Rattus norvegicus: one gene and its partners. Each later gene encodes a partner of the first gene's protein in a complex. Links are inferred from orthologs where the notes say so. Each region holds a gene or a part of one and is shown on either strand. Other genes may lie near its edges.

Region 1 (10,340 bases):
CACGTGCATCACTGTGGTAAAACTAAGTCATAGATCATCCCAGAAAAAAAAAATCTAGGAGGCAAAGAAGTGGTAGAAATGTTCTTCAGGAAACTAGACAATGCAGGGAATCTGCAGAGGTGAGGAAGCACTGGCCCAAGCAGTCTTTACCCTCACGTGGAAAGGGTGGGGTATTTTTAAATGCCAACAAAAAGCATCTAAAGGAGGCATCAGGCTAGAAATACCAAAGGTGGGGGTTGAGAACGGGGACTGGATCAGGATCCTGAGAAAAGGAAGAAAATCAGCTTTTCAATGAGAAAGTTTGTTAGACAGAGAGGCAGTTGTGTGGGTTTCCTGTTATGAATATGCTTGTGGGCATGTCTGACAGATGCTCTAGTCTATCTGATGAATGGCTAACAGAATTCCCAAACAGCTTGGCTGTGATGGTAGCAGGAAAGAGGAGAAGCCAGGATGTGAACACTGCCAGCCCTCTCACCTGTGCACCTTTCCCCAAGCCCCAGGTCACAGTGCTCTGTGAGAACTCCGGAGTCCAGGGGAAACATCAGGAATGGGATCTGACTTGCTCAAAGCCTTAGGCAAGCTCAGGCTAGAAATTAAAAACCAAAGTACCGGAGATCGAGACCAAGAAGCCCACATGAGAAAACAAAAGAATGAGACATGGCTTTCTAGACAACAACGAGCCGAGGCTACTTACTGTACAGATGACAGATCTCAAGGCCCAAGTCACTGTGCCAGAGATTCTTAGTAACACCTCAGTATTTATAGAAACAGGAACTGAGTCTAATTGGAGGGGCGGAGGCAAGAAATGAGATGATGTTAACCCTGCCCTGGCTAGAGACAGAGGTGAGGACAAGAGAAACTGAGTATCCAAAAAAAGAAGATAAACATGGGGAAGACAGGGTCAAGGATACAAATAGAAAAAGTGAGAGAAGAAATAGAGGGAGACATAAAACACATAAACTGAGCAGAAAACAAAACAGAAGGGAGAAGCAAGAGCAGAGAGCTGGAGAGAGACAGATGGACAGACAGAAAGACAGACTGAGACAGAGACAAAGAGACTGCAAGAGGCTTCCTTTCAGTCCTTGAGGTGGGCTAGGTAAATAGCCTACAGGCCAACCGTCATATGACTCCCTGGTAGAGAAGATCCTGGTTTGGTTTGGTTTGATTTGGTTTGGTTTGGTTTGGTCTGATCTGGTCTGGTCTGGTCTGGTCTGGTCTGGTTTGGTTTGGTTTGTTTTTTTTTTTTTTCAGGTATAACTTTTCAAACACACTTCCCAGAGCAACTAGAAAGTGACATGTGATAGGGCTAATTTTGTCCACACATCACTGAGAGTTTCTGTAAGACTGTCCTTGGGATGAGACTATCATTTGAATCAGTAGCTGACAAAAGCCAACTGTGCCCCTTATCCCACCAGATGAGGCCTGAACAAAGGAAAGGCCTGGTTCTCTCATGAATAAGAAAGATCTCCTCTTCCCATCCCATGGGCAAATACCAATCCCTGACACTATTAATGATACTCTGTTATGCTAGCAGACAGGAGTCTAGCATGGCTGTCCTCTGAGAGGCTCCACCCAGCAGCTGACCCAGACAGATACACACACCTACAGTCAAACAGTGGATGGAGCTTGGGGACTCTTATGGAAGAATAGGAGGAAGGATTGCAGGCTCCTAAGAGGATAGGAACTCCACAGGAAGACCAACAGAAGCAACTAACTTGGATCCTTGTCGCTCTCAGAGACTGAACCACCAACCAAAGAACATTCATGGGCTGGACCTAGACCTCCCTGCACATGTGTAGCAGATGGGCAGCTTGGTCTTCATGTGGGTCCTGAACAATTGGAGCAGGAGCTATCCTGACAGCTGCTGCCTGTACATGGGATGTGTTCTAGCTGGGCTGCCTGGTCTGGCCTCAGTGGGAGAGGAAGCGCCTAGCTTTGCAAAGACTTGAAGTGCCAGGGTGGGGGCATTCCCAGGGGGCCCCCAGCCACTCAGAGGAGAAGAGGGAAAAAATGAGGGAATGATTGTAGGAGGGGGTGACTGGGAGGAGCAGTGAGCAGGATGTAAAGTGAATAAGTAATAAATAAATAAATAAAATTTTTAAAAGGAGGTCTCTGCTTACCATTTAGATGGACCATGTTTCCCTCATTTGAGGATCCTAGAATTTTATTTTTATATATAACATAATCTACATTATGCACATACATATATGACATGAAAGCAGAAAGAAAACTAGGGGAAGGAAAAATACTAATGGGGGAGGACTGAAAAGAGGAATAGGTTGGGGCTGGAGAGACAGCTCAGTGCTTAAATCCTGAGTTCAATTCCCAGCAACCACATGGTGGCTCACAACCATCTGTAATGGGATCTGATGCCCTCTTCTGGTGTGCATGAAGACAGTATACTCATCTACATAAAATAAATAAATCTTTAAAAAGAGAGAGAGAAGAATAGGTGAGAATATCCATCTGAGGACAAAGAATCTATGCCAACAAGAAAACTTCTCAAAGGAGCTGAGGAGAGCCTCGCCAGGTTAAGAGTACTTGCTATGCAAGCATGAAGACCTGAGTTAGAATCCCCAGCACCCACATAAAAAGTCAGGACTTAGCTCGTGAGCCTGTCACCCCAGCATTGTAGATGGTGAGACGGAAGGATCACTGGGGTTTGCTGACTGACAGCCTAGCTCCAGGCTCAGTGAGAGACACAGTCTCTAGGGAATAGAGCAGGACACTCAATGTCCTTCATGTCTGGCCTTCATACACACACTCATGAGTACACACACACACACACACACACACACACACACACACACACACACCTGTGCATATAGCACACATTAAAAAAAACTTTAAAAAAAAGAATGCTGGGCAGTGGTGGCACTTGCCTTTAGTCCCAGCATTCAGAGGGGCAGAGCCAAGCAGATCTCTGAGTTCTAGGGCAGTCAGGGCCACACACAGAAACCTTGTCTCAAAAAAAAAGAAAGAAAGAAAGTAAAAAGAACCTCTATACTTCTTACTCTGAGAAGGATCATGAGTTTCCTCTGGTCTTCTGAATAAAACTAAAACATTGGTTCACAGGGTTTGAGTCTGCTGGCTCTCAGAATTGAACCAATACTTGCTGCCTGAAGATCATAAAACACTCATTTTTCATAATCACAAATGCTTTTTTTTTATTTTCTTAATTGTGTATGCGTGTATCTATGATTAGGAATGTACGTACACGTGAGTGCAATTCCTGTAGAGGTCAGAAGAGGGCATAGGTTCCTCTGGAACTAGAGTCGTGGGTACGTGGATAGCTCTCTCTCTCTCTCTCTCTCTCTCTCTCTCTCTCTCTCTCTCTCTCTCAGAGCCATCCCTCCACTGCCAAAATTTTTTATAGCATAAAGGTTTTTTTTAAAGATTTGTTTATTACTTATTCATTCATTCATTCACTGGCTATGAATACATTCTCACTCTCTTCAGACACACCAGAAGGGGACATCATGTGGATGCTGGGAATTGAACTCAGGACCTTTGGAAGAGCAGTCAGTGTTCTTAACCACTGAGCCATCTCTCCAGCTCCAGCAGAGGCATCTTAATAATCAGTTCCTGCCCCTGCTTACAGATCTATCCTTTCTTTTGATCATGCTATCTAGCCACCAAATCCTTTCCTTAAATGTACTAGGCTTGCTCTCATTCACTTTAAGTCCTCTGCACTAACTGTTCACTCCACCAGAAGGGCTCTCCCTCCAAAACCGCAAATAATAGCTGGCTGCCTGCTTTCTTCAAGTCTCCACCCCAGCTTGATACCTTCACTGTGACCTAACCTAAACTTTCACAACTTTTCTGCCTTCATAACCTCCACTGATCATTTCTTTCTCATAGCACGGTTAAATAATGATGATGGTGGTGGTGGTGGTGGTGGTGGTGGTGGTGGTGGTGGTGGTGGTGGTGGTGGTGGTGGTGGTGGTGGCGGCAAGGAATACGATGATTACTATCATAGCATTTTCTAACATAGGATTTACTTTATCCTTTTCTTTCCCCCAAGAGAATGCAACCCTTTGTTGTTTAGTTCACCTGTATACCCAAGTACCTAAAAAAGAGCCTGGTGCATACTAAACATTTAAATTGTTGAATGAATATGCCTTCCTAGTGATACCTTATGAAGCCATCACAAAGAAAGCACTATGCATGGGCATTCAGGAAGCAGAGATAAGGAGAGCTCCAGCCAGCGTGGACTGCGGAGTAAATTATGAATCCAAAATTCAATTGACTGATTGACTAATAAGTTAAATGGATGCAACAATGAATCTCCTTTAAGACTGATATTTAATATCCAATTTAAGCCTAAAACAAGAATTGAGACTTTTACACTACTCTGTGCCGCCACCTGGTGGCAATTGTGTAGATTGCTAGTTGCTTCCTCCCCACCCCCAGGAGGTCCCAAAGTTACTAGGAACTACTTTAGCTTACTACATACTGAGTGCGCATCGGACAGAAATTAAAGCGCACACAGATCACTAAACTTTACAACCAGCCGGAAATTCCAATGCCCAATAGTGAGCAAGATATGGGTCACGTGGTACAAATTTAGCCAATCAAGGTTCTAATACTACCAACTCACGCCCTTCCGTTCTAGCCTCTCTCTTTCTCGGCAAGATGGCATCCCCAGCCGTACCGGCTAGTGTCCCTCCCGCCACTGCAGCCGCAGCCCCGGCGCCGGCCGTCACCTCAGCCCCGGCTTCAGCCCCGACCCCACCCACGCCAGCTCCAGCACAGGCTGCGACTCCCGCTGCGGCACCGGCTCCCGTCTCGTCTGATCCTGCTGTAGCTACGCCTGCAGCTCCGGGCCAGACCTCAACCTCCACGCCAGCCCCTGCGCAGACGCCGGCGCCCTCGCAGCCCGGGCCGGCCCTCCCGGGGCCTTTTCCTGGCGGCCGCGTGGTCAGGCTACATCCAGTCATTTTGGCCTCGATCGTGGACAGCTATGAACGCCGCAACGAGGGAGCTGCCCGAGTTATCGGAACCCTGCTGGGTAAGTTCTGGAGAAATTAATATTTTCTTCAGTCCATCTTCCTCCTATTCTCGTTCATCGTCCTTGAATTCTTATCCTGTTTATCTTGTTGCACCTTCTTGCTGTGGCTTGCCTTCCCAAATGATTTGAATCCTGCCGAATTTCAGTTAAGCCACAGGCATGTGCAAGGAATACGTATGAGCGATTGCATAGTTTGCGATAATTGAGCTACATATTATTTTATATTCCCAAGAGTGAGATAAAGAGAGGGCATGCTGCCAAAAACGAAGGCCCAAATGCCAGCAAATTCAAAGCCCTTGACCTGTTTAAACACAGAACCCACATTTCCCTCTTATCCACTGACCTACCGCCACCCCAACACACACAGATCGTACCCACCACCCACGTTAGGGAAGAGGATGTGTCAAAAGCTTCCTCCAGTTCACCAAAAAAAACAGGTTATTTCGAAACATATTCTGGATATATAGCTTGTTTTCCTGAACTTTTCAGACAAACGCTTGTCCCAAGGTCTTCTCACATACTGGTTCCTAGAGAAAATCCTATATATGCATTAGGGGGATATTGACCTGGAAACCAGGAAAGGGAATAACATTTGAAATGTAAATAAGAAATACCCAATTTAATAAAGATGGGGGGACCTATATATGCTCAGCTCCAAGTTCCTGCTCATGCACACTCGAGCACACACACACACACACTACCTCCCTCTCACTCTCCTTTGATTTCCATTTGGACACAAACTGTTGTGTTTACAATCATGATTCCATGTTTACAATCATTGCTAACCTTCAAGATGAAGAGTAATCTTTTCTTTGCCTGTATTACAGATTTGGGGAAGTGGTTTATGTTTAAGTAGCTTGTAAACTTGAAAAGCACTAAACACTGTTGAATATCATTCTCTGGGGACTTCTGAGCCTATCAGCCTTGTTTCCTCTCTGCCTCGGTGACAGCTTTTAGACATTGCAGTCCACTCTAGTTGTACCCATCATCTCTTACTGGTGGTCTTCTAGCAGGCCATGCACCGTAGAAGATGATCCAAGAACTGTAGGGAGGACAGGGGTTGTAGTCACACTCCAGCAGTTACTAGCTTTGTGTCCCCTGACAAATCACCGTCAGAGCCTTGTTTAGCAGGCAGGTTTTTGCTTGTTTTTGTTTTGTTTTCCAAGGGCAGCAGACATTTTTTAAAATTTTTATTTTATGTTCATTGGTGTTTTGCTTGCATGTATGCCTAAAGGTGCCAGATCCCCTAGAACTGGAGCTACAGACAGTTACGAGCCACCATGTGGGTGTTGGGAATTGAACCCAGGTCCTCTGGAAGAGCAGCCAGTGCTTTCCACCACTGAGCCATCTCTCCAGCCCCAGCAGACAGTTTTTGTGAGAATGAAATATTATAGCAAGTAGTTAATGGCTGGCATACCTCAGGTACAGCAACTGTTGGTCATCCTCTGTCACATAGGAGACCATACCATACATTCCCTTGTCTTTGACAGAGTAGGCGTTTACAGGAACTTAGAGTTAATACCTTGTCTTTTTATCAGAACACACTTGCATTTTCTTTGCCACATATCTTTCCTGCTCTTCATTTTATTTCAGTCCAGAACTCTAATCTCAGTGTCTCTGTAGTTGTAACCTTTAACCGTATATTGGCATTCTGTAACTGCCCTACTGTGAGCTTCTGTAACAAAAGAATTTTGTATCGGGGACTTGCCACATAACAAATACTTTGAATTTGCTATCTAATTTCCAGTCTCTGGAGCTGTTTAATTAAAGAAATAAATGTCTACCCAAGGTTTATGTTGACCCTGTTTTATCGTAGGACGGCTGTAGTGTATGGTTCTCTATCAGGCTGAGACCCACTCACTGCTCCCACTGTTACAGAACAGTTACTGGTAGAAAAACAAATGAAGCAGTATGTGCTTGGTAGAAGCTTAGACTTTCTTGGTTCTTAATTTGTAAAAGATTTTGTGTGGTTAAATGAAATCATCGTTGAGTTTCATGCGTCATAGAGTTGTTAGGTACTTAGAATTTAAAATTAGTCAAAGGAATTCTGCTGTAACCTTAAACTCGAGATGGAAACACAGTCCCTGTAAGTAACTACTGTACACAGGATAAGCATTCTGCTTGCAGGTACCTGTGGAAACGTAGATGTAACTACTTAGAAGGTTATGAAGGAGTTGTACATAGCAAGATGTGCAAGGTCATGGTAAGGTGTAACACATTTTCAACGTGAAGTAAGTCCTTAAATGGACAGTATCCACATGTGATTCCAAAAGGAGCAAGACCTGGATTTAAAATCTTGCGTGTTGCTGTAGGACTTTTAAATAATTTTCAATGACTATGCCCATAGGTTAAAGTTCTTTGTAAGCACTAGCACTACTAAGCCTAGTGTCCTTTATCCTTTAAATAAAAACCTTAGCTATTCAAATTATAGGATATAAAGATTACTAGAAGTGTGTTCTAAATATCATAGTTTTGAAAACTCTGAGAATACCCAGGAATGCTTTTTTTTAATCCCTGAATCTCAAAAAATAGCATGACAGGAAATTGAAAGCTGAAAAACGTATTTGCTTTCACTTTATGTAGTAGTTCCAAAATGTATCACTATTGAGAAATAAACATTTTTTTAATTTAAGAATGAAACAAGATTTTAAAAATAAAGCCCTTGGCAACTCTACTGTCTGAAGAGGTCGTCATCAGCCCTTGGTGGTTTGGACACCTACCTGCCCTTGGGGCTAAGAAGACTCCACCATGCTCATCTCTGCATGAGGCCCTTGTGCTCATTCCAAAGCTGAGACCAGAAGAAATTAGAGAATATGGCTACTTTGTGGAGAGTAGTAGACCTGAGTTGGGCCTGGACAGCAGATTGAGGGCATTCTGGTAAAGCAGACGCACTTGTGAAGCGGAGGCAGAGAGAGATGTAGGAGAGTGAAAGATGGGAAATAGAGATGACGGGACATGGTGTGATCAGAAGTGCAGCATTAGAGGATGGGTGGGTGAGTTCTAGACCTGCAGTTGTGCACAGAAGAAAGGAGAGACAGAGTTTGACTTGGTCCTGGTAGATATTCCTTCTGAGGTGCCACTGAGTGTGTCAATGGATTTTTCAAGTAGCAGATTGAGTAAGCAGGGCTGCAGGGTAGGTCACAAGCCTGCCCTTAGTTCAGTTCCCAGAACCCACATGATGGAAGGAGAAAACCTCCTGCAGATTGTCCTCTGACCTCTGTGGGCAACCCATAATTAATCAGTGGGAAAGAAAGGCAAAATTTAGCAATAAGTATGAAGAAGCAAATGTAGAGAGGTGTGGGCAAGTATGTCCTAGCCACCAGAAGATAAGAAGTAACTGAAATAAAGAGGTAGATGAACTCACCTACCACAGGGATTGTTAGCTGTGTTATTAAAAAAAAAAAAAAAAAAAAAAAGTCAGGAAATATTTTCAGCTTTGTGTGTAGTCTGTCACAGCTACTCGACTCTGCCTTTGTAGCTAGAAAAAAAAGGCATAAATGATGCAAAAGAGATTAGGCACATAAACAAGAACTGAAATGTTTCTGGGTCAAGACTTGACCTAGAAAAGGAGCATAGACCAAAAACTAGGAATGCTAACAGTGCTGAAATACCGAGGTGTCAGGGCAGCCAACAGATTAGGAAGAGGAGGGAGAAAGCTAGAACAGACTGGTGTCCTGGGGGCCCTAGGAGAAGAGGCTCTGAAATGGGGGAAGCAGTCACAGCGGTCAGAAGTTGGTGAGTAGTTAGAGAATGTATGCCCGTGGATTAAGAACGCTGTCTTAGGGTTCCATTACTGTGAGCAGACACTATAACCAAGGCTACTCTTAGAAAGGACAACATTTCATTGGGGCTGACTTACTGGTTCTGAGGTTCAGTCCATTATCATCAGGGTGGGAAGCACGGCAGCATCCAGGCGGGCATGGCACTGGAGAAGGAGCCGAGAGTTCTACATCTTGTTCAAGGGAACCCAGGAGAAGACTGGGCTTCCCTCCCTTGTGGCTAGAAGGAAGGTCTCAAAGCCCACCCCCCACCCCCACAATGGCTCGCCTAGTCCAGCAAGGCCACACTTCCTAATAGCAGCACTCTCTGGGCCAAGCATATTCAAACCACCACAAACACAGTTCAGAAAATGAAACCATAGCACTAGCTACTAGCAGAGACATGTTAGAAGGGGTAGGAGTAAAGAATTTAAGGGAAGGTACCAGGACATCAGAAGAGAGTGAGGTTGGGACCCATGGCTCAGTGAGATCCAGGAACTAGTATGAGAGTTAAGGGTCTATGGTAAGGACCCCTGTGGGGGTGGAATGACTCTTTCACAGGAGTCTCCTAAGATTATCAAAAAACATGTGTATTTAGATTACATTTATAACAGTAGCAAAATTAGTTATGAATTAGCAATGAAAATAACTTTATGATTAAGGGTCACCACAACATGAAGGTCACAGCTTTAGGAAGGTTGAAAACCACTACTCTGGAGAGTACAGAGAATTGTGGGGAAGGGCTGGTAGTGGGAAAATAACAGGCAAAGGAGACCTTGAGAAGGGACACTTAATCCAGTCTGGTGATAGAAAGAAGGGTTGGGGATCCTGAGTTTGAGTTCTCTGGGAAATACTGGTTCTGTTGATGCGGAACTTGGGGCTAATGTGTTGGCTTCATGTTTGCTGGCTTTGAGGCCATCTCCAAAAGCAGGAGCTGTAGAAACAACTCAGTTAACAGAGCACTTGCCTATCGTGCATGAAGCTCCAGCACCACATAAACCAGGTGTGGTGAAGCATGCCTGTGATCCTGGCATTGGCTGCTGGAGACATGAGGCCCAGGAGGTCTTGTTCATCTTTAGTTCAAAAGGCCCCTGACCCTGGGGTGTGGGGAGGGGGTAGTCAGGGGCTTTGGGGTCTTGGGGTTATGTAACACCTGGCCCTTCTCTCTTTACCAGGAACTGTTGACAAGCACTCGGTAGAAGTCACCAACTGCTTTTCAGTGCCACACAATGAGTCAGAAGATGAAGTGAGTTGTGTGGATTTAAGCGGCCCCTTTGTAGATCACAGCCATTTGACTACTGGCTTCCCCGAAGGTCCCACTGTGCTGTCTGTAACCAGAGCTGCAGCTGAAGCTCTGCTTTCCCTGTCCACATTGGGCCCCCTCAGATGGTGGGCTTGACAGTTTTTCCTAGTCAGCATATACTTCTAGCTTCTTAACCTCCTCTCCTGCCTTCCCCCTTAGGTGGCTGTTGACATGGAATTTGCCAAGAATATGTATGAATTGCATAAGAAAGTCTCCCCAAATGAGCTCATCCTAGGCTGGTAAGATGGGGACGGTGGGAGTGGATGGA
Region 2 (10,201 bases), on another chromosome or scaffold:
GGGCAGAAGTGGAGTCTCCTGAACATCTGCCATGCCTCTCCTACCCCAAGAGCTTAGCAACTGACCTACCGTGCTTTTTCTTGGATGTCAGGAGTGGAAAGAAACTGGAACTTTTAGTAAACTTAATGCATTTTTTTTTTTTTTTTTTGTGGGTCTCGATTTTTCAAAAACATACCCAGTAGTCTTACATAGCACTGTAAGTGGTTTCAAAATCTGCTTTGGAGCGGGCAGGACTTAAGGAGACATTGATCCCCAGCAGGTAGACATGCTCCAGAGTGTGGGTAACAGTGCAGAAGCTACTCACATGTCTTGAGGCTCTGACACCTCCAAGTAGCGCATCTTCATCAGCTGAGGGAAGTCCATCTCCTCCTTCACCTCCCAGTCACTGCGAACTTCAACCGAGGAGTCTCGGGGTTTCTGTAGAGGGAACAGAGAAAATCTTCACATCCTATGCAAATAAGCAAAAGACAGAGTAATACAGGAAGGACTTTCATTCAGTTATGGTCCTGGCTGGGTTTTGTTTATTTTTAATTTTTTTAATTTTATTTATTTTATGTATGAGTGCTCTGCTGCATGTACACCGCATGCCAGAGGAGGACATCAGATTCTTTTACAGATGGTCATGAACCACAGTGTGGATGCTGGGATTTGAACTCAGGACCTCTGGAAGAGCAACCAGTGCTCTTAATTGCTGAGCCATCTCATCCTGGTCCTGGATGTTTTTAAACAGGGTCTGTGACTCGTGGCAGAGAAGGAAGCAGGGGCTCAGCATGGGGCTTCTCAGGGTGTCAAGCACCCCAACAGGACAGGTAGCTAACTCAAAAGTGCCTCTTCCCGATTTTATCACCCTGCAACACTCAGGAGTGAAGTCGGGTTTCTGTGCACGGAAGGCACTGCTTTGCTGCTGGCAACACTCCTAGTCCAAACTCCACTTTCGCTCATGTCTGTCATGCTCACAGCTCCCACAAAGATGGCAGTGTTATTCGTAAGAGTGCCACAGTGGAAAGATGAATGGCTGAAGGAAATGTGGCAATCTATACAAAGAACCACTCTTGGGCGAGAAGCTGTCAGTACAGCTGACTCCATGTCTGCAAGTTTTATACCAGCGGTCTATACCCACTCACACGTAAACTGAACACGCAGGATGGTCAGCATGCTGAAACCCTACCTACCACTAGGTGGCTGACAGAGGAGCATCACCCGAGATTAAAAACCATACTCTTAACCCACAGAAACAGTCCAGAGGCGGGCTAAAGTCCACGAGCAGACTCACATAAGATACATGCAGATAAGATACATGATCTCTGAGGGTGCTTGGAACCAATCCTTAACAGACACGAAGAAAACATGAAAAGATTGCACCAACACAGGCTGCGATAGGGACAGATCTTAAAAGTGGCACACTAAATAAAGGGCACAAATTATGATTCCATTTTACATGAAGTGCCCCCATCAGGGAAATCTGGAGATAGCAAAGAGCAGCGTTGTCTAGGACTGGGATCATAGAAACCTTCCGCCACAAGGTTTCTTTATACAAGTCAGTGAATAGTGAATGAGAGACCATGCAACTGTACACGGTGACTCCTATCTCTACACATAAAAGAAAACAAACCCATCCAATTCCCAACAGAGTCCCAGTATGGACACACTACCTGTGACTTCTGGTCCCATTTTTGCCTCACTCCAAATTGCTTCTGGAATTTTTTCTGTAAGCGAATTCGTTCTCTGAAAAGACAGACAGAATGCTGTGCTTTTAGTGTCGGCTTCAGGCTGAACTGCAGTTTCCTTTCTAGCTGCTACCAGGATAGAAAACCGGGGCTTAGGTGCAGAGACCCTGTAGGCACACACTGGGGATGTGAGCAGAGGCATACTACTAGTACCGACCAGTACTCAGCCCAGTTACTATCAAGGCAGCCCTGGCTAGGGTGTGGTGGCTGCTGTGCTCAACCCTAAGGGCCCAAAGGATAGAGAATAAACAATGCTTCCTGGAACCAGGTACGCTGAATCTAGAGGCCACAGAGCCACTTCAATTTTACCTACAGCTTTACAGCATAAATGCCCGCCTCAACCACTTACTTCCTGCCCGTCTGGCATGACCTAGTCTTGGATGGCGATAGGCTAGGAGGTTTTGGTTTCTTTTGTCAATCTTGTCCTGGCTCTGTGATTTCTGAACACAGCCCATACGGGAACAGGACTTTGACCTGGAGGAAGGGATGCTCACCTCTCTTTCTGCTTGGCACTTTTGGGCAGTGTCTGTAGGTTGAACTGCACCATGTTCCGCCGGTCTTTGTCTCTGCGGAGGTTCCGCTGCAGAGCAGAGAGAGACCCATGTTAACTCCTTGGAGACAAGGCTTATGATCTCTTGAGAGTAAGTTTAGGGTGTGAAGTTCTAAGTTTTACGTCTCTTTACTTTTGCTCTGTAGCATCTACAGAATTTGGGCTAAGGGGATAAGTACTTGTGTTAGCTTGGACTCTCATTCCCACTTTAATGTGGGTTTACTAGTTTTATTGGAGTTGCTAATTTGCAACTTTATGTAGCAGGAGGCACCCTACCAAACCACCTAATTAACAAAGGCTGTATGGAGCAATTTAGCAAGGCAGTGGGTTCCCAGCCTTGTGTGATGTCTGAACTACTGTGAACAGAAACCTGAAATCCTTCAACACGTCCCTGGACCCACTCCAAGTTATTCTGATACAACTGGTTACTAAATGGCCACGTGGGATTGGCCAAAGTCCTGCAAGTCTTTCCTTTCTCATCAGTATCCCAAGATGGTTGCTGAGCAGCAGAAACTGCCACAGCAAGAGCTCTGAGGTGCAGGCCTACCTGTGCGAATCTCATCCGGTTCCGCTGGTAGGCCGTCTTCTGTGTACGCGCTGTGTCCACTAGCTGGAAGCTCGTCTCATCCTCCTCGTGGAAATATGCATACTGACTTCCCCCACCGAACTGAGAGGAATACTTGTCTGCAGGCAAAGGTGACAGTGTGTGCTAGGTGCTGCCTACAGACTGCTCAGGGCAGCTCTCTGAAGTGTGGTTCTGACCTGAAGCACTGGCCAGAAGCTTGTGAGATGGGTACTCAAAGCTCCTGCCCAGACCTGACAGATGGGAACCTGTATTTAGACATGATCTCAGGTGATTCACATGCATATTTAAGGTTTAAGAGCTTGGGGCTAAAGAACTTACCAAGAGAGCCCAAGATTCTCACTCTAACTCACTTTACCTCTGCGTGGTCACGTAAGAATCTGAGCTGTAACACCATCCCTGACCATCACCCAGAGCTGTGAACAGGGCCATTGATCATGACAGATTTTCTTTCTGATCTCATCCACCTTAACTTGGTACCTTAGGCAGCCACTTCCAAACATCTAACTGGCACCAAGAAAAGCATTTTCCCTTATCAGAACTTTAAAACAAGGCCCAAAGACTAGAGTCCATTGATTGATGGCTTCAGAAAGTCCCAAGCAATACAATGTAAATGGTAGCATTTAGGAGTCTCTGGCTGTCCAGGAACTGCTTTCAAAACCATGGGTTATGCACACATTCTAGAGTATACTCCCAATAACTACCACTACCATTTCCTTTTCTTTCTAAAATATTTTCAAGTGGGGCTTACGGAAAAAAGTAGTGACCTTCCCAAGGCCTAGGTGTGGGCAGCCCACTGAGGGACTTACTTGTGTACCTCTTGTCCTGGTACGTGGCCCCTGTCCAGTCTGCAACCTGTTAGGGACAGCAAAGACAAGGAAGAGGACAGGTTAGACGAGTAGGCTTCTGCTGACCCAGAAACTTCACACAGCAAGGGCGACAAAGGCCTCAGCATTGCCTCTGATGCTCTTCGTGCGGCTACCCCGCATCTGACTCATTCCTTCCTCAGCTGGTATCCCCATAGGAAGTATATCCATCAAGAGAACAGAAAGGGGTTGGGGATTTAGCTCAGTGGTAGAGCGCTTGCCTAACAAGTGCAAGGCCCTGGGTTCGGTCCCCAGCTCTGAAAAAAAGAAAAGAAAAGAAGAAAAAAAAAGAGAACAGAAAGGAAATGGGGAGTTGGGGAGTAGCTGCCCCAGCTGAAGAAACCCAATACCTTCCCCAGCCGATCTCCTTTGCTGAATGGCTGGTAGGGCATATCCCGAAACTGCTCAGGAACGGCACAGGGACCCCAGCCTGAGGGGTTGTCCTGGATCACAGGTGTCATAAACTTCGCCATCTTCTAAAACCTGTAAATATAAGCAGTGTGAGAAGCTTTAGAAGGAAGGGCTAAGTCCCAGGCACTCCACCCTCCCCTGAAGCTGCATTACAGAGGTGCACACGAGGCAGAGCCCTAGCTCTCAAGCACTATAGACAGGGTTTTCTTGTAAACTGGTCTAAGAACACTTAAAACTCATAACACTGCCAACAGTAGCAACATTTTCCTATGTCTCACTAATCTAGGACAGGTTCTTTTTTGGGGAACATCTTTGAAATGAAGCTGTGTGTGTACCTTATGCTTGATGGGTGTCACGTCTTTTCTTTCTCAGTATAACATATGAGAAAGGTGTCCCCAATTATCAAAGATGGTAAAACTGATGAGTTCCCCCAGAAACACCTTCACCAAAGCATCCAACAGCAAACTTCTCTAAGCTCAGTCTCTAAAACAGTCTATATCAGAGAGCCATCATCAATTTTGACAGTTGTCATCCGGCACAACTACCACTCAGCTATACAAAGGCACCAGCACGGGGTGCTTTAAAGATCCTCGGGCTGCTGAGAAGGTGCCGCAGGTCAAGGTGGAACCGAAGTGGAAGGCGAGAACTGACTCCCAAATGTGGCCTCTGACCTCCAGCTGAATGCCATGGCACGCACACGCTGGCATTCACACCACCAACCTCCCCACACGTGCATACTCGGCAACAAAGAAATCCTAAAAAACAAAGGACTAAAAACAAACAAACAAAACCACCCCCTGAACCTTTGGCTAGACCCGGTCCTTCCAATCTTCCATCAGCACAAATCCTGTACAGTGCATGCGACCAGGCAAAAGCACCATTGGTGACCAAGGTCAGGCTGGGTCAGTGAGAAGGCTCAGTGGGTAAAGGCTGCAAAAGTGGCTGTGTCAAAAGCCCATAAGCAGTAGCACCAGGACACTGTTCTGACTGCATACAGCACACGAACTTATTAACCCCTTCAGACAGTCCTGTGGGGTAAGTCCTGTTCCCATTTTCTGGGTGAAAACTTAAAGGTACAGTGAAATAAAAGTCACAGTGCTAGATGATTAGAAATTTGAACACTGGTAGTGTATCTTTGGCCCTGAAGTCCATATATAGTATAGTGTCCAACACTACGCTCATTTTAGAAAAGTAAAAGCTAACAGCTGTGTAATCCAGGGGTTTGCTGGACACTTCCCATCAAAAACCAAACCAAGGGGGGTGGGGGGCACAAAGAAACCCTCTGGCACTGTCCAGAGAAAAAGTCATCACACTACTTCTTGAAGGCTGGAGAGCAACTGCAGAACACCAGTAGAGAACTTAGTAACCTCTCCTCCTTCTCTAAATATTTAGGTGACAGGGACAAGGAATAAACCTGGGAGCTTCACTCTCCAAATATGAGCTTATGCTAGGCTGTAGGAAGAACACGGGGGTGGGGTGGCTGCCTTCAAACAGCTGACAGGAAGTAAGAGGCCCCAGGATATCGGGGTACTATACCGGACACTACCACCACTGCTCCCTCACACCCCATCTTTGAGACACAAAGTTAGCTCTGCTAACGAAAAGTTTCCAAGGTGGCCTACTTAAGTCCTTCTTCTGGCTATCCTGTAGTTAGCTGGCAGTCTGACCATCTGGGACTTTAAGCCATACTCAACAGGTTGCCTCAAAAGCAATTGTAAACTTGAGGTGTCACAAGTTCAAGATGGCTCAAGGCTTGACATGCATCATCTCCCCGGATGGGCAGGGTTTGGTCCTTTGGCGTCTGCACAAATGAACCAGAAAGAAACTGGTAGGGAAAAACTAAAACGACGCGACAGCTGTATTGGCCACAATGTGGTGTGGATCACTGTGGACACTACAGATGGAGCCATCAACTCCTGGGCTCTGTTTCGGACCAGAGCTGGAACCTACTCTTCTTAGTCGTCCATTTCGGAGCATAGAAAGAATCTGTTCGAACCCCTAGAGGAGGCTACTTCGCCCCCCAATCCACCTCAGCAAAGCGTCGGGAGAGGGATCCACACACAATGTCCGGTGTCTTGCACTCTGTGTCGTGCCTGGGACCACCTGAGGCCGAATCCCGCCCCGCCCAGCGGAGGGGCACCGACGACAGGAGAGGACGTAAAGGAAGGCTCTTCCGGGAGCCCCCGAAGTCATGCCTAGCCCAGGCTGGCTCGCGAGGTCTGCAGGGTCCTACCAAACAAGCCGCTCACCTGCAACGGCCTCCGCGGGCCCGGATGGCGACAGATAGCCCGGGTAAGAAACTGCGATAGCCTCGATACTCGCAGGGACCAAGACAGGAGGGAAGATGCGCGCGCAGGCCGGTGCCGTAAAACGCGACCAGCGCTGTCGTAAATGGCCCATCACGTCCTTCTAGTCAGCGGAAAAACGTCAAGCCGTAAAGCGAGACCCAACCGGAAGTCCGTCACAGCTCTTGGCTAAAAGTCCTACCTCGCCTCTGAGGTGCCAGACACAGTGAGGTGATTACGTCAGCGGCATCTGGGGACGCCCTGAGCGGTTCAGAACTGAAACGTGGTCACGCTCGGTTCGAGAGAAGCTGGGGCGGGGAGCCAGAGCTACCCGCGCGGTGTCCCACAATGCTTCGCGTCCGCCTCTGCCTCCCACAATTCCCCGACGTTCTCGCTTGCTCCAGTCTGGTTGTTGGTCTGGCTCAGCCTTACCTGGAGGGTGGCCCGGCGCGTTACTTGTGCTTGTTACCTGTGGCACGTACGCAGGGTGGCAAATGACCTGTGTAGTCCGGGTTGCTAGAGCTTCGGTGTTCCACAGATCTCAAGAGTCTTTCAACGGAGATTTCTGATTTTTTTTTTTAAAGCAGATTTAGAGTGTCTCGCTCTAAATTGATATTCAAGTCAGGGCTATCCAAGCTGCAGGCTAGGAGTCTGCGTGTTAATTGATTATCACGATTCACACGGTGCAGTTCAGTGCGACCTCTTGACTTCTAACACCCCCTGCAGCCAAAGAGTGCTAGGCAATTATGAAACCTGTAAAGAAACTCAGGATGGACTTTTATTTAAAGTTGGTTCCTTCTATCTGGCTGTCTAGGTCTCCTTGATAGTTTCCCAGCAGATCTTTTTTAGAAAATACATCTTAGACACATGTGGTGTCCAGGTTTAGGCAAGACTAGTTTTATGGCCTTCAGATCCCGCGGCCCCCCCCCCCGCCCCGCCCCCAGCCAATGCAAGCTGGAAATGCTAGATGCTAGATAATAAGGGGTAAAATAAATGGCTGTCAAAGGACATTCCACTTTCTAGTGCTGAAAATGGCAATGTGGATGGGGTTACCCATTTCATTAAATTACCAATGAGCTTGCCTTCCAGTTTTCCCAAGTTTTGTTCCCTGGTGAGTCCTGCTGGGTCCTCATCATTAACTTCCTTTCCCCACCACATTCTAGTCTGTATTGTAATTTCAGCCATATCTGAGTGCTGTCTTCCTCATAGGACCATCTCCTCTTGTTGTTCAATCATTCATACTCCCAGTGGGTCGCTCCTCAGCATGATCAAAGCTCTTCCCACACTTCCTAGGGAAGCTCAACGTGGAGCTGGACTAGCTTCCCATGGCCCAACATCCCTGCCTGTTTTGACCAGCTCCCTGCTATTCTGCACAACCTCTGCTCTGGCCACCATGACCTGCTCTCATTCCTCTCTCAGCAGGTCCTACACTTGCTGTTCTTTCTGCTCCGAGGGTGTACTGTCACTGCCTTGGTCCTGTCATGTATATGTCTTTAAGAGTTGGCGTCTAGACAGGTCTGGCAGCATGTTCTGGGATTCCCCCTACTCTGAAACTGAGGGGAGCATGACATCAGACAGGAGCTGGCAAAGTCGGAGGTTGTGAGAAAAGGCACTTGCTTTGAACACTGAGCCATCCTGCTGGCTCTAGATCAGTTGTTAAAAAGTTGAAGCAAGTTCTCACTGGGTCACCTGATCCTAAGCTCCCAACAGCTGAAAACGGGAGGGCAGCCTGGGCAGCCCTGAAGCTAGCTTGGGCTCTATAGCAAGGCCCCAGATGAACAGAAAGTCGAAATGCCCTAAAATATGAAGAGGCGCGTATCTTTGCTGAACTGTTCCCATCATGTCTTTCCCTCCTTTCTCCCTTCTTTTCGATGTGGCTCCCAGAGGCTAGCTGCTCTCCCCAATGCCCAGACAATAGGTGATTCTTCCCCTGAGTGTACGTGGCCTCATGGACTCAGGTGATGCTAGGTCATTTAAGGTTGCCAGAAGGAGTGGGGGTGGCCTCTATTCATCAGCTGTGTGGAAGTCGTCATCCATGTTGGGGTGAGGCCACTTTGGGGTTGCCCATGGTCTGTAAACAAGCCCAGCAAACTCATTGGTTCCTCAGGGTGGACTTTGGTGGATTTCAAATTTGTTTGTTATTGAGGCCTTGTAAGGAGGGGTACGTCCTCGTTTATGTCCCCCATGGAAGAATACCCACAACATGTGGTCACCCTGGGTTCTGCTATCTGTAATGTGTGAGCATGTGAGCCCAGACTCTTCTCCACAGGCTCATGTCTTGGCACTGTTTTGGGAGGCTGAGGAACCTTTCGGAGATGGCATCTATCTGCCTGGTGCACGTTGATCACCGAGGGTGAACCTTTGAAGGTCATATCCTCTTCTACCTCTAGCCGGCTCCCTCTGCCTTCAGGCCTTCCATCATGTGAACAGCCACTGCCCCTCTACTCCTGCCTTCACAGATGGGGCTACCCCACCACACCTCCTCACTGTGACAGACTCAGATCCCCTGAAACCAAGATCCTAAATCCTCTTTTCCTGTTGGTGTTTTGGTCACAGAATATATAAATTTAAACTGTGCAACAAACCATTCCAAAATTCAGCCACTAAAACAGCAGCAAGCCTATTTTGGTCTTTCAGTTCCTGTGGGTCGGGGCCTGGGAGCACTGGCTGATAGACTCTGGCCTCCGGTCTATGGTGCTGCCGGGTTAGAATCGATGGAGATGGAGTAGCTGGCAGATAATGGTTGCTTCCCTCTCTCCATTTGGTTATGAGTCTGCCTGGGTGCTGAGCCCACGTGGGTCTGGGCTTCCTCAACATGGTATCGTGGGGTGGTCAGACCACTTATGTGGGCACTGGTGACTTCTAAGCCAGAGGCCACATCACCTACCCTCTGCCATGTTGCCTCTGCAGTCTCTCAGCTCCTCAAGGTCAAAAGTGAGCCAAAAGCTTTTCTAGAGTCAAAAGAAAGCGATGAAGGTTGGCGCTGTGAAGGCAGTGTTAACTGTCGACTCGGCAAAATCTAGTCACCTGGGAGAAGGGCTTCAGCCATGCTGTGGTGGGCTGTCTGGATTATACTAATAGCTGTGGAAAGGCCTATCTTAATATGGAGTGGGGCTGTACCGACTGGATAAAACAGAGCACCAAACATTAGCATTGGTGCATTCCCTGGTCTCTTCTGATTGTAGATGGACTGTGTTCAGATCTTTCAAGCCCATGAGGCCTTGACTTCCCCTGCCATGATAGACTGTAACCTGAGTCTGTGAGCTAAAGTAAGCCCTCTCTCCCTGGAGTTACTTTTGCCAGAGTATTTTATCACAGGAAAAGAGACTAAGATGTCATGTTGGGTAAGGTACAAGTCTCTGGAGGGCAGGTAGAGCAGGAGGTGTTGCTTGGGGTTATAAAATATGGCTTTTCCTAAGAATCATCAGTCTGGTTTCTGCAAATGCATGACTGAGTGGTTTGGAACACAGTGGAGTTCCTCCCAGGGAAGAGCCTGGACTGGGACCAGGGCACATCCAGGGAGCCTCTTTAGAGAAAGCACGTGTTGTGGTTAGTACTGATGTCAGCTTGACAGGATCTAGAACCTCAGGGTGTTCTGGGTGTGTCTGTCGGGGACTTATCCGATAACTGAGGTGGGAGACACACTGTAAACGTGCATGGCACCCCCACCCTCACCCTCACCCCCACCCTCACCTGGAGACCTTAGTGTCAATGAAAGGGAGAAGTGAGCAGAATATCACCATACATTTCTCTCTGCTTTCCAGTTCTGGATGCAGTGT
Region 3 (10,262 bases), on another chromosome or scaffold:
GCACTCCTCCATGGCCTCTGCTTCACGCGCTAAGTTCCTGCCCTGACTTCAGTACAGGACTATAAACTGTAAGATAAAGCGAGCCCCTTTCTCCCTACGTGGCTTTCGGTCATGGTATTTATCACAGCGATAGAAACCTAAGACAGCACGCCCAGTATGCACTGGGGCTCCAGTGTTTGCCGTCATTCAAACACTGGGGAGGTAGAGGCAGGAGGATTGGTAGCTTGAAGTCATCCTCAGCTACCTAGCGAGTTTGGGGCCAGCCAAAGCTACACAAGACTCTGCTCCCCAGAAAAAGAGCGACACCATTTATTTAGTGGGTTTTTACTGTGTAGTGCAAGCAGCCTTTGGAGGCTCACTGCTGCTACCTCAACTGATGACGGGCATATGCAGCCCCCCCCCTCCACTACACAGCCTTCTAACAGTCACACCTTTGCATACAATTTGTCATAAGTTGTACTACTAGGTTCCAAGGAAAAAAATCCTATTAGTGCTTTATTTTTGTAACCTTTAAAAACTGCCTGGCCAGTTTTCTTTTTATTTTGTTACAAACAGGGGATTGCTCTGTAACCCAGGCTGGCCTCAGTCTTGAGAGAACACTCCTGTCTCAGCCGGGTGTGTGGCCCCGTGGGTCACTTTCCTAAAAACCCGCTTTGCAGCTGGCATTCTTTCCTTGGTTCCCCAACCTCCTTCCTTCTCTGACTGACTGTTCTACTCTGCCCTCTAGTGGCTACTGAGAGAAGCTTTCTCACAAGAAAACACAGTAAGGTACCTCAGAAAATCTTAAAGTGACTTTGTTCTCCAGCGTGGAGGACAGAGACCTCAAACTAACTCTTTTTTTTTTTCTTTTTCTTTTTTTCGGAGCTGGGGACCGAACCCAGGGCCTTGCGTTTGCTAGGCAAGCGCTCTACCACTGAGCTAAATCCCCAACCCCTCAAACTAACTCTTTAGTCTGTTTGTCTGTTTGTCACTTGAGTCACGACTCCACTCTGTTTCATCATGCCCAGCTGAGTTCAAACTCTTAGATTTTCTGCCTCTACCTCCCTAGCATTGGAATTGACCATTTTGTTTATTGCATCCTTAGAGAGAATGACAGTAAATGCCAAATGTAAGTTGATTATCCAACCTGCTTTTACAGCCATACCACCCATCCTTAGATGGTGCCTGACCTCTTCTGATTCCATTACACTTTCGTGTTGGCGTTCTTGGTCCTGAGGGTCCACTGAAGAAAGAGAACCACTTGAGGATGAATTAAGGCCTTTCTGGGCGCAGGGAAATCCAGTCTCTATGGACTGAATCTTGAACATCCTCACAAGATTTCTTCAAGGTCTTAGTGCTTCTAGAAAACAGCTATTCACGCTGGTGTTTACCCTAGACGCCATGATTCTACAAGAACTTCACTCCAATTCAGTGTGTGAGAACACACCACGGCATACGTGTGGGCTCAGAGAACAACTTGCTAGAGTCAGTTCTCTCCTTCTCCCAGATGGGTCCTGGGGTTGAACTCACGGCAACAGGCTCATGGAAAGCACCTTCACCCACTGAGTCATTGGCCAGCCCAAGATACAAGTTCTAAGTGCCGGGAGTATTGGCCATTACACACGGAGCTTGGAATGGGTGTCCCTGGAGGCAGAGAATCTGTTATAGTCTTCATTTACTTGATAAGAGCTTCACATGGGAGATAGTTTAAGGTGGCAGGAATAGAACTTACGACATGCTTTTGCAGCTAAGGAGGTATTGGGACCTAGGTAAAATATTTTAAGGCCTAGATAAAATGTTAGGGCCTAGGTGACTGTTACCTGGGTAGCCTACCATTATAAGGAAACTTTCCCATGTCTCTGCTGTTACTAAGAAACTTTCTAATGCCGAGATTGATTACGTATTCTGTTATGCTCTGTGCCCTTGGAAATCAATCATGATAGAAGTCAGTAGAACGGTTTTGTATCATGACCCACAATAAGCCTGGACCCGAATCGGCCACCCAGCAGCACTTCCTGAACCATACATAAGTTTCTATGGCACTTGCCTTTGTAAGCTGCCCCTGGGATGGACCCCAACATAAGAGAGACACCTGCACCAGTGTAAGAAACTATTTGGAACAAGACTTCCATTTTGAGTAGGAGTTGAGTAAAGATTACATTCCCAAGACCTTCCTGGGAACTGACAACCTCAGAGAGCAAAAAGAGACATGAGCATGGATAACTGACATCCTGGTTGGCAAGTTTTTTTTTTAATTAAAAGATTTATTTATTTATTATATATAAGTACACTGCAGCTGTCTTCAGACACACCAGAAGAGGGCATCTGATATCATTACAGATGGTTGTGAGCCACCATGTGGTTGCTGGGATTTGAACTCAGGACCTCAGGAAGAGCAGTCAGCGCTCTTAACCACTGAGCCATCTCTCCAGCCCCCTGGCTGGCAAGTTAAGACTTGAATGTTAGACAAGGCAAGTCCCCTGCCACAGTTGAATACCCCAACCATTGGGAGCAGGGTAAGTGTACAACAAAGACATGATCCCAAGGAAATCTGCCTATCCCTAAATCCTGATTGGTGAAATAACTTGGCACAGATGTTTGTGGATTTGGGGCTTAACAACCCTGCAGGATCTTAGCTTGGGGTTCAGTCCCTGAATCTGGAGTGTGACCTTGGTCAACCAGTCCTGGGATGTACGCTAAATAAACTGTCCGTGTCTGTCAGAGATTGGTGTTCATGTGGTTTGTGAAGCGATTCATTGACCCCAACAGGAGGCCAAGACTGCGGGCCTGAGCTGCAGGACCCACATAGTGGAAGGAGAGGCCTCCTGCAAAGTGTCCCCTGACCTCCACACGTGTACTGTGCATAAGGGTTTGTGAGTGCACAAGCACGGTGTCTTCAAACACAGTACAAACACACACGCAAGTTTGCATGATAAAACCTAGCATGCGTCACAGAAAAGGAAGCACAGGAGACCAGGTGGTCTGAGTCTATATCTTCTTCAACAAACCAGAGTCCTGGTATCATCCAAACAACACAAATCAAGGGCATTCTTTTTTTTTTTTTTTTTTTTGGTTCTTTTTTTTTTTTTTTAAGGGCATTCTTGATACATGTGCTTTTCCCCCAGGCTTGTTGGTATAATGCCAGTTATTTGTCAATTGCTTGCATTCGGGAGTTCAGGGGCAAGCCTGGGGAACAAAGTAAGGGTTTTAGTTTTGGATACAGAGTCTCATGTAGCACAGGCTAGCCTGGAATCCAAAAAGTAGCTGAAATGGCCTTCAACTCATGATTTTCCAGCTTCCACCTCTAACACTGGGTGATAATTAAAACTAATTCTCCAAGAGGAGGGAGAGAACGAATCAGTTTCCAGTGTGGTGGTTTCATGTTCGTATTCCCGGCACTTGCTAGAATGAGGTGGAAAGATTCAAGGCTAGCTGGGGTACATACACCACAAGGTTCAGGACAGCCTCGTATTCAAGGCCACCCTGGGAATGATGTTCATGAGCGTTTTGGAGTTGAGACAGAAGGATTGTGGGGAGTTACTGATTATCCTAGCTATAGAGTGAGACACTGACATCTAGTTCCATCAGCCTAAAGAGGGAGTAAAAAGTTTAAAACGCTCTTAGAAGCTCTTTTCTAGACCCCCTTTCCAGGTTGGATGCCAGCGCTTTGCGGCACGCAAAACATGCATGTCCACATTTGTCCACAGGGAGGCGCTGTGGTCACCGCGGTCTGGCCGCTCTAGGCAGCGGCCACAGCACCGGAAGCCTCTTCTACACGGGCTTCCGGTCTTTACCCGGGCTGAGAGCTGCGTGGAGTAGGACTTCGAGATGCCGACTGGCGACTTTGAGTAAGTGTTCGGTGGCGGTGGGGGTCGCCAGAGAGGCCGAGTGGGGGCAGCTCTGGGGTGTATGGTGGTCCAGGTAGCGCGGGGCCCGGGACCCGCTCACCGATCTCCTGTCCCCGCAGCTCGAAGCCCAGCTGGGCCGACCAGGTGGAAGAGGAGGGAGAGGACGGTGAGTGCTTGTGCGCGGCCCCGCCCGCTGCGAGACCCGGATGCCCACGCACAGGCTAGGGCCGCTTGTGGCCAGTCCCACCCTCGCTTTGCGCTCTGCCCCTGGAGCGGTCCCCCACCCCAACCCCCGCCATTGGCTTGAAAGTTCCAGCGCTGTGGCTCACTTACCTTCCTCCCCGAATTCCCTCCGGCAGACAAGTGTGTCACCAGCGAGCTCCTGAAAGGAATCCCTCTGCCCACCGGTGACACCAGTCCAGAGCCGGAGTTACTTCCTGGAGGTGAGCACCGTCCATCCCTGCCTTCTTCTCCCTTCTCCCTTCCGATTCTCAAGCCTACTTTCCAGCCAGTCCCATTACCCAGGAGTTAGTTTCTGTGATCTTCCTCCAGACCCACTGCCACCTCCCAAGGAAGTCATCAATGGGAACATAAAGACGGTGACTGAGTACAAGGTAGAGGAAGATGGGAAGAAGTTCAAGGTAAGGGTGAGGTGGGCATATGTGGTCAGCGTGACTTGTTCAGGGGCTCTTAGATCGGTGGTGAAGAGTGTCAGTGTTGCTTTGGATGGCTGAGGCAGGCCTGAGACTCGGGAAGCACTCCTAACTCTTTCCCACCTTCAGATTGTCAGAACCTTCAGAATTGAGACCCGGAAGGCATCAAAGGCTGTGGCCAGGAGGAAGGTGAGAGTGTACTTATTTGGGGGATGGGGGTGTTCCCCAGGACTGACCAGAGGACTTAGGAAGCCCCTTTTTGTTGATGTAGAATAAAAGTTTAGTGTTAGGCCTTGAAAGTTTAGGACCCAGGAGTAGATGAAGTTAAGATTTTTTTTTCTTCTCCTTTTGTGCGCAGGTGTGCGCACTTTTGGTTTGAGATGGTCTCTTTATATTAGAAACTAGACTGGGCTTGCTGTTCCCACATAAGTACATGCCTCTGATCTCAGATCTTCATTGGGATCAACTCTGATGGGCACTTCTGTGACAAATACTGTACTGAGACATATCCAGCCCTCTTGGTTTTTCTGTTTGTAGTTTGTCTGTTTTTTCCAGACAGGGTTTCTCTGTAGCTCTAGCTGTTCTGAACTCTCTGTAGACCAGGCTGACCATGAACTCAGAGGTCCACCTGCCTTTACCCCAGACTTAGGATTTAAGGCACTGCCACCACTTCCTGGCTTGTTATTTTTGAGAGACTTTAGCTCTACAGTCTTCATTCAGAATGCTTCTGCCTCCCGAGTCCCCACTTAGATTCTTCCTCCTTTGTCTACATGAAGAAGCGAGCAGCCTCTACTTACCAAGGGGGCAAGGGCGTCTAGCCGGGGCAGCACTGCCTGAGAGCAAGCACCCCTCCCCCCCAAGTCATCTAGCTCGACATGGCTTCTCAATCCCCACGCCAGTTTAGGGAGGCAGGGGGCTTTGTGGCCCCCATGTTACAGGAAGGAAATGAACCTCAGGTCTAACTAGCTCAAGGTTCCTAAGATCTGGGGATTCCTCCTTCATTCCTGATGGGAGCTGGGCTACTGACCTGCCCAGAAACTGCAGTGGCACAGTTGAGCCCCATGCTCAACTTTTTGTGTGACTTTGGGATCAAGCTCAGGTTGTTACAAGTACAACAAGTAAACTGCACCTTTTCACACTGAGCTACGGCACCAGCACCTTTTCCTTTTCTTTTTTTTTTTTTTTTTTTTTTTTTTTTTTGGTTCTTTTTTTCGGAGCTGGGGACCGAACCCAGGGCCTTGCGCTTCCTAGGTAAGCGCTCTACCACTGAGCTAAGTCCCCAGCCCCCTTTTCCTTTTCTTATGTATTTATTCATTCATTTAGATGGGGCCTCATACAGCTCAAGCTGGTTTAGAGCTTGTGTCTCAGGATGGCCTGCAGCTCAGGATCCTCCTGTTTGCACCTGGCAGATGTTGGAGTGATGTCATGTGCCGCCATGTCTATCTTAGGAAGTGGGTATTGTCACTGTTACCACACGGAAGGCCTCTAGGGAAACTAGAACATAGGAGTCAAAGCCCCGGAATGGTTGTCTGTCTGGGGTGCTGCACTGTGGGATCCTTCCTGCCTTCATCCTCACCTCCCCATCTTTTCCTGGGAGCCCAGAATTGGAAGAAGTTTGGCAACTCAGAGTTTGACCCGCCAGGGCCCAATGTAGCCACTACCACAGTCAGTGATGACGTCTCCATGACATTCATCACTAGCAAAGAGGTGAGCAGGGTGAAACTGGAACCTGAGAAACGCAGAGGGAGTGGGGTGGGTAGGACATAGCAGCCCCTTCTGAGCCATCCCTTCCCCACCAGGACCTGAACTGCCAGGAGGAGGAGGACCCAATGAACAAGCTCAAGGGCCAGAAGATCGTGTCCTGCCGCATTTGCAAGGGCGACCATTGGACCACCCGCTGCCCCTACAAGGACACACTAGGACCCATGCAGAAGGAGCTGGCTGAGCAGCTGGGCCTGTCTACCGGGGAGAAGGAGAAATTGCCAGGAGGTGTGGGCATGGGGCGCCTGGGAGGGGCCTCAGCTGTTCCTTTTGTAGTGTACTGTTTTCTTTCCCTATATCACCTAGGGACAACTTTGGGCATGGTGGTCATTCTGATGCAAGTGTGACTGATGACTTACTCTAACTTGGGTGTGCGTGTGTATATGTATGTATGCACACATACATTCAGGTGACACCCACATATGTGCTGGGCTCAGTAGACCGAAATCTAACATGTCCTGTGGGGGTAACTGCCTTCTGTGACTTGATTCTTGCTATCATGGATGTGTTGCTGAGGGACATCCTATAGTCAGGCTGCTGCCAGCTGGTATTCTCTAGCTTGTAGGGAGGGCTCTGCAAGCCCGGATCACGTCTGCCCTGCTCACCTTGTCCATGTCGTGAGTAGAGACTCTGAAGGGTTGTAGCTTCCTGGATATGATGTGGGTCACCAAAGGGTGGCTGGACGCCTGTCCCCAGGGGTGGGCTGAATATCACTTTTGTCTGCTGCTTTCCAGAACTGGAGCCTGTGCAGGCCGCCCAGAACAAGACAGGGAAGTATGTGCCTCCTAGTCTCCGGGACGGGGCAAGCCGCCGTGGGGAGTCTATGCAGCCAAACCGCAGAGGTGAGGAGGGTAGGAAAACCCAGGGAGCAGGTGGTACCTAGACACCCTGTAATTAGTCCTGCGTTGTGGGCGTGGGTCTGACTACGGCATCCTCCTCACGGCTACCTCTCCCTGCCCTGCCCACAAAGCTGATGACAATGCCACCATCCGTGTCACTAATCTGTCTGAGGACACTCGTGAGACTGACTTACAGGAACTCTTCCGGCCTTTTGGCTCCATCTCCCGAATCTACTTGGCCAAGGACAAGACCACTGGGCAGTCCAAGGTGGGTGAACGGGGCTGAGGGATGGGTAACTGGAGAGTAGGCATCCCCTGACCCACTTCTCACCACCTCCATGTCTGCCTCGGCCCACAGGGTTTTGCCTTTATCAGCTTTCACCGCCGGGAGGATGCTGCGCGTGCCATTGCAGGGGTGTCTGGCTTTGGCTACGACCATCTTATCCTCAATGTCGAGTGGGCCAAGTAAGAACCCTTCTACCTTTCCCACATTCTCCCTGGCCCTGTTATGTGGTTGCCAGGTCTGTCTGAAGGAAGGTCCTTGCCAGGCATGAAGCTACTGGTCCCAAGCAGGCAAGGCCTGGGCTTCCCTGGTATGAGGTAACCTTCAGCATCACAGGTCCCCACCTGCATCCTGACCACCTCTCTTCCTCTTCCCAGGCCTTCAACGAATTAATAAGACATCTGCTGCCTGCTGCTGTTGTCCAGATCCTCAGGGACAGAAAGCTTCCAGTAAACAGACTCCAAATACACTGTGTCCTGCTCGTTTTCATGGGTCTCCCTGTGGGGGCGAAGCTGGCCCCTCCCTCAGCCTATGGGTTTTTTTTTTTTTCGGAGCTGGGGACCGAACCCAGGGCCTTGCGCTTGCTAGGCAAGCGCTCTACCACTGAGCTAAATCCCCAACCCCAGCCTATGGTTTTATTAAAGGACCTGCCCAGGTGGGAGGCAGCTGGCACTGGTGAGGCACCAGCCTTGAGGGTAACTGGAGGACCCTTGCTTAGGATCTGTTGTCACAACATGACATGGGTGGCAGCACATGCTGGGTACCACAGCCATGTAGAGCAAGGGGTACATGCATGCGGCCAGGGGCACAAGGATGTGTATTGTCAGCCAAAGAAGGGCCCCAGCTCCTGCTCAGCCTGCGCCTTATTGGAGAAATTGGGGCAGTGAGCCAACCAGCACATCTTGGCATCCACATGGAGCACTTGTGTGATGTGGTAGGGCGCATAGGAGCAGGCATGGAGAGCCACACCATTGGCCACCAGCACTACCACACGCAGCTTCTGGGCTGTGGTTGAGCCCTGGCACCACCAGCCCCAGGACACTGTCGGTCATTGGTGTGAACAGCAGAGGCAGGAAGCCACCCAGGCCTGCCAGGATCACACTGTAGGCTCTGAAGGCCTCTGGCTGTCCGTCCCCCATTTCTAGGTACTTGACAGAGGCATTGAGATTGTTGTTGCTGCTGCCCCACGTCTGTTGGGCTGTCTCTGGTAGGAGAAAGCGTGGGGGGCAGCACTCAGGATGGCCATGACCCAGCTGACAGCACCGATAGCCCAGGTGCTTGGGTTGCAGGTGACAGGTGTCTGTGTAAAGAAGGGGTGCACAACCACCTTGTATTGGCTGAAACCGAGGCAAGCAGAGGATGCTGCTGCTGAGCAGGTTGCAGGCCCATAGCCATCCCCAAGCTCCAGTTTTCAGGCGGGTGGCAGTAGGCAGCCAGAGAGGCAGTGTTCGTGCATAGAACATGTTGCTGACTGCTGGCTGCACAGAGAAGGCCTCTGTACTTGGGTGATAAACTTGCCCACTGTGGCCAAGAGGAGCTCTGCAATCAGGATGAGCCAGAGGAAGTCCTGAAGACGGATGTACTTGCCAGTAGCTCCCAAGTACTTCTGTGGGCTGGACAAGCTCCCTGTGAGCAGAGTACCTGACTGAGCCACCCGCCTCAGGCCTACTCCTCCTTTTCCATACACCAGTTCCTACAAGTGACACACAGCCTGGTAGACCCCTTACTGACCAGACCAACCTACCTTTAGGTGGGATGGACCAGGGCCACACTGATTTGGAAACAAGGCTGGGTAGGCATAGGACTCTGTACTGAGACTACAGAAGCTTGCAGTTGTGAACTTCAGAGCACTCCCCTTCTGAAGTTGCTAGGTTCCCCCCAAACCACTGGAGGGTACCTAGTACCAGTGAGGAGGTATCCACTTTGTAGCCTTACCACTCCAAACAACCCCACCCCCAACTTACAAACTCTGGTAGCACCCTCCCACCACTCCCTTAATGTCCTGAGTGGGATATAATTAGCCCCATAGAACACACGTCCCACTTCAATGAGCTGAGTGCTGGCTAATCTTCCCAGCAGCTTCTGGCTATCCAAGGTCCCATCTGGGTTCCCAGCAGGCCGGTAATGAGCCAGTCTCTACCTGCACAGCCAGAGTAACCCTCCCACCCAGCCTGCTTCCTCCTCGTACTATCCAGGCTGGGCCTGTCTCAGTTTAGTAGCTGTCCCCACCCCAGCCAGAGAGAAAGCTCAATGTGTCATGTTCAGGTTTATTGGAGGTAACTGGGCAGTTCCTTTATGAAAGGAAACCGGAGTGCACTGGGGCCCAGGGCAGCTTCCGGGCCCCAATCTGGGGCATCCACACATGGTCCACCCACTGACAGGCAGGTTCAGGGTCCTTTCCTTGATGGTGGACCCAAGTCACGGGACCTGGCTCTGGGTCCCAGCTTGGTCTTGACTCTCTGGGATCTGCCATGTGGCTTCAGAGCCTGCCAGTTGCCACTCTGACCACGGCCTTTATTACCAGGCCTCTGCTCCTTCCCAGGCCGCTTCTTGCCCACAGGGCCCCCCTGCCGTCTCCGCTTGGCCACTGTGGGGAACAAGTCTGTAGGGAGAGAAATGGTTGTTAAGTTCCTCAGAAGTAAAAGGTAGGACCTCAGGTGTGGCCAGTACAGACCCTGCCCACCTTCATCAGGCTCCTCGCCCACGGCCTGGCGGAAATACTCTGCATCATCCTCTTCCTCCTCCAGCTGGCTCATCCCCACTGCTTCTGGAGGTGCCCCTGGGTCCTCAGCGTCACTGTCGCCATCGGCCTTTGCACGTGCTCGCTTTATGCCTGCCAGGCTCTTCTTCCTGGAGGACAAGTGTGTCCCGGGTCAGCTTGCCCAGGTGACCAGGATCC

Evidence for each region. Proteins that work in one complex are often made in the same cells at the same time.
Region 2: Eif3f (region 1) and Eif3d share a complex: the UniProt entries of both Homo sapiens proteins name them as parts of the eukaryotic translation initiation factor 3 (eIF-3) complex. The link is inferred for Rattus norvegicus from reciprocal best matches to the Homo sapiens genes EIF3F and EIF3D.
Region 3: Eif3f (region 1) and Eif3g share a complex: the UniProt entries of both Homo sapiens proteins name them as parts of the eukaryotic translation initiation factor 3 (eIF-3) complex. The link is inferred for Rattus norvegicus from reciprocal best matches to the Homo sapiens genes EIF3F and EIF3G.

Annotation. Positions count from the first base shown.
Region 1 is NC_086019.1:172,364,451-172,374,790, forward strand, and holds the start of Eif3f (eukaryotic translation initiation factor 3 subunit F), read left to right. Parts: upstream 1-4,611; 5' UTR 4,612-4,635; coding exon 4,636-5,011; intron 5,012-9,944; coding exon 9,945-10,015; intron 10,016-10,231; coding exon 10,232-10,311; intron 10,312-10,340. UniProt on the Homo sapiens protein: Component of the eukaryotic translation initiation factor 3 (eIF-3) complex, which is required for several steps in the initiation of protein synthesis.
Region 2 is NC_086025.1:111,426,276-111,436,476, forward strand, and holds the start of Eif3d (eukaryotic translation initiation factor 3 subunit D), read right to left. Parts: upstream 6,466-10,201; 5' UTR 6,387-6,465; exon of another isoform or gene 6,167-6,386; intron 4,210-6,166; 5' UTR 4,200-4,209; coding exon 4,077-4,199; intron 3,716-4,076; coding exon 3,670-3,715; intron 2,962-3,669; coding exon 2,825-2,961; intron 2,308-2,824; coding exon 2,222-2,307; intron 1,726-2,221; coding exon 1,653-1,725; intron 418-1,652; coding exon 305-417; intron 1-304. UniProt on the Homo sapiens protein: mRNA cap-binding component of the eukaryotic translation initiation factor 3 (eIF-3) complex, a complex required for several steps in the initiation of protein synthesis of a specialized repertoire of mRNAs.
Region 3 is NC_086026.1:27,703,482-27,713,743, reverse strand, and holds Eif3g (eukaryotic translation initiation factor 3 subunit G), read left to right. Parts: upstream 1-3,797; 5' UTR 3,798-3,807; coding exon 3,808-3,827; intron 3,828-3,946; coding exon 3,947-3,993; intron 3,994-4,186; coding exon 4,187-4,270; intron 4,271-4,379; coding exon 4,380-4,468; intron 4,469-4,609; coding exon 4,610-4,669; intron 4,670-6,082; coding exon 6,083-6,187; intron 6,188-6,279; coding exon 6,280-6,469; intron 6,470-6,975; coding exon 6,976-7,083; intron 7,084-7,211; coding exon 7,212-7,348; intron 7,349-7,438; coding exon 7,439-7,545; intron 7,546-7,740; coding exon 7,741-7,756; 3' UTR 7,757-7,830; downstream 7,831-10,262. Other genes in the region: Ppan (suppressor of SWI4 1 homolog), read right to left, coding at 9,751-9,965, 10,047-10,213. UniProt on the Homo sapiens protein: RNA-binding component of the eukaryotic translation initiation factor 3 (eIF-3) complex, which is required for several steps in the initiation of protein synthesis.